2 linked regions of the Oryctolagus cuniculus genome follow. The protein of the gene in region 2 purifies or fractionates together with the protein of the main gene of each other region. This does not show direct contact. Links are inferred from orthologs where the notes say so. Each region holds a gene or a part of one and is shown on either strand. Other genes may lie near its edges. The genes, in order: NAP1L4 and UBE2O.

The links.
Region 1: the proteins of UBE2O (region 2) and NAP1L4 purify together in Homo sapiens (affinity purification with mass spectrometry; 3 studies listed by BioGRID, with this or other methods). This does not show direct contact. The link is inferred for Oryctolagus cuniculus from reciprocal best matches to the Homo sapiens genes UBE2O and NAP1L4.

What each region holds. Positions count from the first base shown.
Region 1 is NC_091432.1:788,702-792,503, reverse strand, and holds part of NAP1L4 (nucleosome assembly protein 1-like 4), read right to left. Parts: intron 2,971-3,802; coding exon 2,831-2,970; intron 1,640-2,830; coding exon 1,494-1,639; intron 1-1,493. UniProt on the Homo sapiens protein: Acts as a histone chaperone in nucleosome assembly.
Region 2 is NC_091448.1:4,358,341-4,362,142, forward strand, and holds part of UBE2O ((E3-independent) E2 ubiquitin-conjugating enzyme), read left to right. Parts: intron 1-269; coding exon 270-329; intron 330-430; coding exon 431-541; intron 542-2,753; coding exon 2,754-2,851; intron 2,852-3,802. UniProt on the Homo sapiens protein: E2/E3 hybrid ubiquitin-protein ligase that displays both E2 and E3 ligase activities and mediates monoubiquitination of target proteins. Negatively regulates TRAF6-mediated NF-kappa-B activation independently of its E2 activity.

The sequences.
Region 1 (3,802 bases), on a different chromosome or scaffold from region 2:
CGCTTCTGACACTTTGTCTTTCAAACAAACAAAAACCACACCAAAGCCCATGTGTACCTGCTGGTGAAGCCAGTAAACCGCCAATATGCTCAATGCCAACTCCAAAAGATCTCCCCAAACTTATGGCTATTCTTGGCCCCAAACCAGTATTTGTGCATCTTCTAGGCTCAAAATCAAATCACAGAGAACCACCAGTACTAAAGTTTGAGCAGCAGCTAGACGAACAGGGCGAAGATGACCCAGCAGGCCTGGGAGGCGTGCCCCCTGCTGACCCCACACAACCTCTCTGGGCACGGATCGTGTGCACCAGGGCTGGTCTACATCAGACTGTTTTGTTCATGGAGAATAACGTTTTTCTTCATAGCAACACTGCTACGTGGCCTGCTATACGTATTTATCATGATCAGAGAGTTACATTAAGAATGTCAAGAAATTTACTCTTGGTCGGCGCCATGGCTCAATAGGCTAATCCTCCACCTGCAGCGCCGGCACACCAGATTCTAGTCCTAGTCAGGGCGCCGGATTCTGTCCTGGTTGCTCCTCTTCCAGGCCAGCTCTCTGCTGTGGCCCAGGAGTGCAGTAGAGGATGGCCCAAGTGCTTGGACCCTGCACCCCATGGGAGACCAGGATAAACACCTGGTTCCTGCCTTCGGATCAGCGCGGTGCGCCAGCCGCAGTGCACTGGCCGCAGCAGCCATTGGAGGGTGAACCAACGGCAGAGGAAGACCTTTTTCTCTGTCTCTCTCTCTCACTGTCCACTCTGTCAAAAAATAAAAAAATTAAAAAAAAAAAAAAAAAAAAAGTTGGGACTGGCACTGTGGTACACGCTGCCCATGGTGCCAGCATCCCATATTGGTGCAGGTTTGCATCCTGGCTGCCCCTCTTCCGATCCAGCTCTCTGCTGTGGCCTGGGAAAGCAGTGGAGGATGGCCCAAGTGGTTGGGCTCCTGTACCCATGCGGGAGTCCGAGAAGAAGCTCCTGGCTTCGCCCTGGCCCAGCCCTCGATGTGTTAGCCACCTGGGAAGTGAACCAGTGGACTTTCTAATAAATAAATGAATTTTAAAAATAAGTAAATAACTCAGCTGCCCCACCTTTACTAGTTCAAAGGCCCCATCTTTAAATCCGACTTCCCACACACCTTCATCTGTAAACTGCAAAATCCTGCACTCCACCCCTGCACACAGAAGCAGAACAGAACTGACCTCAGGAGCAAAGAGGGTTTGGACAGACGGCTGACAGGCTGTGTAGCAGTGACCGCGAGGACGCTGGGGGGCCTGGCACAGGCACAAGGACAGGGGGAGAGTCCTGGGGCGCGGGTACTCTGTGTCCAGGTGAGTCAAGATCTCCCTTCCCAGTGGGGCTGACAACGCCACTCCTACTTTCTAGAAAACCCTGCCCCACACCACGCGGCGGCCAGCACCCTGAGGACAGGATACGGCTGAGGTGGGTCTGGAACATTCCAGGGTGCGCACAGCGCACGTCAGCAACGCACCTTTCAGGGGGCTGAAGAAGTTGAAGAACGACTCGCTGGGCACCTGCTTGGTGATCGTCCTGACCGTGCCCCGGCCTCTGTGCTTCTGCTTCTTCCTGACGGTCTTGACCGTCACGTTCTTTCCTTTCTTCCAATCGATGGTGCACCTGCGACAGAGGGCAGCTGTCAGGGACACACTCCCTGAGAGACGTCCCAAAGGCAGACGGAGAAATCTCAGCTCTCCATGGAAACCGGCATCGGGTGAGACCCGTCCACGCGTCTTGAGGCTGGGTCTGCAGCAACAGCCTGGGCCCCTTCCCGGGGCGTGCGCGCTGCCTGGAGCGCACCCTGAAACGGTGGGCGCTGCCTCCCCAGGACGCCTCGCTAAGGGCCCCAAGGCTGCTCGCCACCTGCCGGGTGATCACAGCAGGCCCGCGGTTACCGCCACCGCATCCAAATCCTCCAGGCAACCGCATGAGCGGGACGAGCTGCAGCAGTCGAGGCGGCCCCGGCGAACACGGACGCCCACGGACGCCCGCGTGGACGCCTGGGGACAGAGGTAGCTCTGGCAGCACCCACACAACTGCTCACGGCGGTGGTCTTCCCAGACCACTCCGGCCACTCCAGTCCAGGTCTGCAATGACTTCCATTTAAAGACAGAACCATTTCCCAAACAACTGAGGGAAATTAACTCCAGACAAATGCTGCCCCTGGGGTCCACGCAGACCATCGCTGACCTACGGTGAGCGATGGCTGTGCTGCACCGTGCACTCCCGAAGCAATCACTGGACCAACACGGCCTGCACTGACCCCTCGTGTGCTGGGAGCAACTTTGAAGTTCCACTGCACAGCTTCAGGCACCGGCGCCCAGACGGCCTCTCTCTCTGGTGAGGGGCCTGCACACGGGCAGCCAGCCTCGGCTGCTTAATTTAAGTCCTTGTCTACTAGGCTTTTAAGCAGAGTCAAGACTTTTAATAACTGCCAATTTCTACCTCACCTGTGAAGTTCTAAAATCATCCCTTGCTTTTGTTTCAGAAAAAGAAATGAAGAAGGGGCTGGAGTTGCAGCGTAATGGGTTGAGCCAGCATCCCATATGGGCACAGGTTCGAGTCCCGGCTGCTCCACTTCCGATCCAGCGCCCTGCTAACGCACCTGGGAAAGCAGTGGAAGATGGACCAAGTCCCTGGGCCCCTGCACCCACATGGGAGACCCAGAGGCGGCTCCTGGCTCTGTCCTGGCCATTGTGGCCACTTAGGGAGTGAACCAGCAATGGAAGCTCTTTCTCCCTCTCTTTGTAATGTTGCCTTTCGCATAAAGAAATCTTAGGACAAAAGAGAAATGAAGACGACATTTCTTACCCGTCACAGTCAACGATTTCAGGGCCTTCGAAGGAAAAGGGATCAGCCTTGTCTGGCTCCGACTTCATCTTGTACGTTTTGGTCAGGACTGAGTTGGTGAAGTAGTCGTTGGGTTCAAAGTGGAACTCTAACACAAAAGACTACAGAGCAGAAACAGGGGGGCACCGCTTAGAATCAGAGAAGCACCCCCAGTGGGCGGGGCCCGCACAGCGCTGCAGAGAGAGGCGCTCAGGCCGTGGGCCCCACCCTCAGTGGATGGGAGGCCTGCACAGCGCTGCAGAGAGAGCAGCACAGGCCGTGGGCCCCACCCTCAGTGGACGGGAGGCCTGCACAGCGCTGCAGAGAGGCACCCAGGCCGTGGGCCCCACCCTCAGTGGACGGGGGCCTGCACAGCCCTACAGAGAGAGCAGCACAGGCCGTGGGCCCCACCCTCAGTGGACGGGAGGCCTGCACAGCGCTGCAGAGAGAGCAGCACAGGCCGTGGGCCCCACCCTCAGTGGACGGGAGGCCTGCACAGCGCTGCAGAGAGAGCAGCACAGGCCGTGGGCCCCACCCTCAGTGGACGGGGGGGCCTGCACAGCCCTACAGAGAGAGGCGCTCAGGCCGTGGGCCCCACCCTCAGTGGACGGGGGCCTGCACAGCGCTGCAGAGAGAGCAGCACAGGCCGTGGGCCCCTCCCTCAGTGGACGGGAGGCCTGCACAGCCCTACAGAGAGAGCAGCACAGGCAGTGGGCCCCACCCTCAGTGGACGGGAGGCCTGCACAGCCCTACAGAGAGAGCAGCACAGGCAGTGGGCCCCTCCGTGCTGGCAGAACCCGAGTCTACATTCTGGGCTGTGAGGGAGAAGAGGACAAACCTTGGGTCCAGGACAACAGCACCCTGCACTCGGGGCTGGCGCAGTGGCACAGCACGTAAAGCCACCACTGGGGACACCCGCGTCCCGTACCAGTGCTGGTCTGAGCCCCACAACTT
Region 2 (3,802 bases):
CTCCGTGGGGTGGGCTGTGAAGTCGTCACCGAAGTGCAGCCTGGCGTGATCCGTGTCTCCGCACAGTCTGGAGGCCCTCTAGGGAGCCTGCGATTTGCCAGGGGAGGGGAGACTGGCCGCAGGGCCCTGGGGGCTCCTGGGTGCAGTGCTGGCAGGGTGCGTGCGGCTTGTGAGCATGCGGGTGACGCACCTCGCGGGGCAGCTGATGCCCTTGGGAAGAAGTCGGGAAGCAGGCGTCATCTCTCACCGCCGTGTGTTCTCTGTCGCAGCTGAAACTGGAGGACCGCTCCGTCGTGCCCAGGGACGTGGTCAGGCACATGCGATCCACCGTGAGTCTGCCCACCCCACGCTGCACGTGCAGGAGAGCTTGGGGTTGTCTGGGTGGGTGTCCCATGGTGGCCTTGGCTTGGACGCCTCCTCCCTCCCCCAGGACAGTCAGTGTGGCACCGTGATAGACGTCAACATTGACTGCGCCGTCAAGCTCATCGGCACCAACTGCATCATCTACCCAGTCAACAGCAAGGACCTGCAGCACATCTGGGTGAGCTGCCCCCCCCCCGGCCCCCGGCGGCCTCTGGCTGTCAGCGCAGCCACTCTGTGCTGCCCCTCCCCCCGCCCTCGCCAGGCACTGCCTCCCCAGGTCAGGTGGCAGGCCTGTTTTGCTTTAACACTTAAAATACATTTTTAAAAAATATTTATTTATTTGAAAGGCAGAGTTACAAAGAGAGCGCGAGGGAGACAGAGAGCTCTTCCATCCACTGGTTCACTCCCAAAATGGCCGCAACAGCTGGAGCTGGCCTGATCTGAAGCCAGGAGCCAGGAGCTTCTTCGAGTATCCCATGTGGGTGCAGGGGCCCAAGCACTTGGGCCATCCTCCGCTGCTTTCCCAGGCCATAGCAGAGAGCTGGATCAGAAGTGGAGCAGCCGGGACTCGAACCGGTGCCCATGTGGGATGCTGGCCCTGCAAGCAGAGGATTAACCTGTCCCCATCTTTTTTTTTTTTAAAGAGTTAGTTAGTTAGTTAGTTAGTTAGTTGACAGGCAGAGTTACAGAGTGGCAGAGGCAGAGAGAGGTCTTCTATGCACTGGTTCACTCCCCAGATGGCCACAACAGCCATAGCTGCACCGATCCAAAGCCAGGAGCCAGGAGTTTCCTCCAGGTCTCCCACATGGGTGCAGGGGCCCAAGCACTTGGGCATCTTCCACTGCCTTCCCAGGCCACAGCAGAGAGCTGGATGGGACGTAGAGCAGCCAGGAGTCAAACTGGCGCCCATGTAGGATGCTGGCACTGCGGGTGGCGACTTTACCCGCTGTGCCACAGCGCCAGCCCCCCCATCTTTGTTTTCCAGGATTTATTTTTAAACTATTTGAGGTTTCCCACACGTTGTAAGCTCCTGGCCCCGCCTCACACAGGGGCCTCACAGCTGTGCTCATCTCTCTCCTCCCCCAACCTTCCTGTCCTCTGCTTTCCCCTGAGACATCTGAGCAGACTGCAGCCAGTGCCCTGTCGCCCCAGAACTGCACAGCGTGCATTCTGCAGACACAGGGCGCGCTCCTGGCAGCCTCCTGGTGGCGCTGACATCACCGCCCGTCCCGCAGCCCGCTCTGCCCAGCAACGCCTGCTTCCCCTTCTGATCCGGGCCCCATTCAGAATCATTCTGCATTCGGTTGTCGGCTCCTGGAGCTCTCGGGCCTGGAGGGGCTCCCTGGTCTTCCCCTGTCGCGGATCTCCTGGCAGCGATAGCTGGTGGCGCAGCCGGCCTCGCCCGGTGCATGCCAGGCGCGCTCTGCCCGTGAGTCCCTGGCCGCACCACTGGGAGCGAACATCTGCTCTGACCCCTGGTGGTGCCGTAGCCTCCCTCATAAAGTCTCCATTACCTATCTGTAAGTGGTTAAGTGTGTGGGGACAAATTCCAGGATGTGTCATCACCCCTCACCCACACCCCAGCCCCGGCAGAACCGGCCGTCTCTGGTGCCTGCTTGGTTGCTCCCTTTTCATGTCCGTGTGGAGCCCGAGGTCCCTGGATCCTCACGGGCTGTAACCCGTGCCTGCCGTCATCTGCTGCCTTAATGATCCAGACCTGGCCAGCGCAGCTCCTCCCGCTGGCTTTTCCGTCTGTCACGCTTCGTTATCTGCTTTCCTTCTGTGTTTAAAGTTCTTTCTTTTTTTCTTACACCACGAGCTCTCCGAGCTCATGTTGCATTTTCTTCTGATCCAGCGCTGGGATCGGCTGTTTCTTCTTTGCGAGGAGAACGTTATCTTAGAGACCGAGATGTGGGTGCAGGGTGTGCTGACTGCGGCCAGGCCTCCTAGAACAGCTCCAGGGGTCCTAGCCCGCGTCTGCTGACGCAGCGGGGTGCACTCTGACACCCCTGATTCCAGTTCCCCCCCTGCACGCTGCCTCCCTCTCTCCCCGAGTCGGTGAGCACCTTCAGCACCGAGAAGCTGGGCTCTTGCTGACCTCATGACACCTGCCCAGTGACTCAGGGTGCTCCGCAGCCTCCCTGCCACACGGCTGCCCTCTCACCAGGCGTCCTGGGCCAGGGGTGCACAGGCCTCTGCGTCGTTCTCCCGTCCCCACCACGTCTCGGCCTTCGCTGGGAAGGGGAACCGGGACGTGGCCCAGAGCTCTCGGGGAGGCCTGGCAGCAGGTGTTAGGACAGATGTCCACCTCCCTCCTCCCCTGGCCCAGTGGGTGCCCTGGGCATCAGTGTCACCTGCTCCTGCCCTGCCCCTGTTCCCTTGACCTGCAGCCCTTCATGTACGGGGACTACATTGCCTACGACTGCTGGCTGGGGAAGGTCTATGACCTGAAGAACCAGATCATCCTGAAGCTCTCCAATGGCGCCAGGTGGGTGTCTCTCCGCCTGCCGGGAGGAGGGGAGGCGGGGTGTCCCTGTGGGGCCAGACCTCGTCAAGGGGAGTGACAGGTGAGGAGGAGGGCAGGCGGGGTGTCCCTGTGGGGCCTGTGGGGCCAGACCTCGTCAAGGGGAGTGACAAGTGAGGAGGAGGGCAGGCGGGGTGTCCCTGTTGTGGGGCAAGACCTCGTCAAGGTGCTGCGGGCATTTGGGCTCTTGCATCCCAGAGCCAAACCCCGTGCGCTCTCCTCATCTGCTGTGGCCCGGTTCTGGTCCCTTAGCTTGAGAAGCATCATCCTTTAGATCTCTCCCGGGAGCTGCTGGAGATCAGTCCAGGTCTCCCATGTGGGTGGCAGGGACCCAGTTACTTGAGCCAGGACTGCTGTCTCCCGGGTGCATGAGCAGGAAGCTGCAACAGAAGCAGAGTGGAACTTGAACCCGGGTATTGCGGCACGGATGGCAGTGTCCGCGGCACCAGACGCCTGCCCTTGCCCCAGTCTGAGGCACCCGGTGAGGCGTAGGGTTTTGCACCAGCTCAGAGGCTGCGCCGCTGGCAGAAGATGAGTCGTGTACCCGTGGGAGTTCTGGCCCCTCCGGATCACCACTCTTTGAAGATTCATTGATTGGAAGGAGTACAGACAGGAGAGAGGTCCTCCATCTGCTGGCTCACTCCCCAGAGGGCTGCAGCGGCCCAGGGCTGGGTCAGGCTGAAGCCAGGAGCCTGCAGCTGCATCCAGGTGTCCCCCATGAGTGGCAGGGCCCAGGCACTTGGGCCGTCTCCTGCTCCTTCCGTTAGCAGGGAGCTGGATCAGAAGTGGGGCAGCCGGGACTTGAACCCATGCCCATCATGGGAACCAGCTTCACCGGCAGTGCAAGCCACCGGGCCCCAGAGCCGCCCCGTCGCCACTCTGGCACTTGGCCGTGTGCCCCCTGGTGGAGACCAC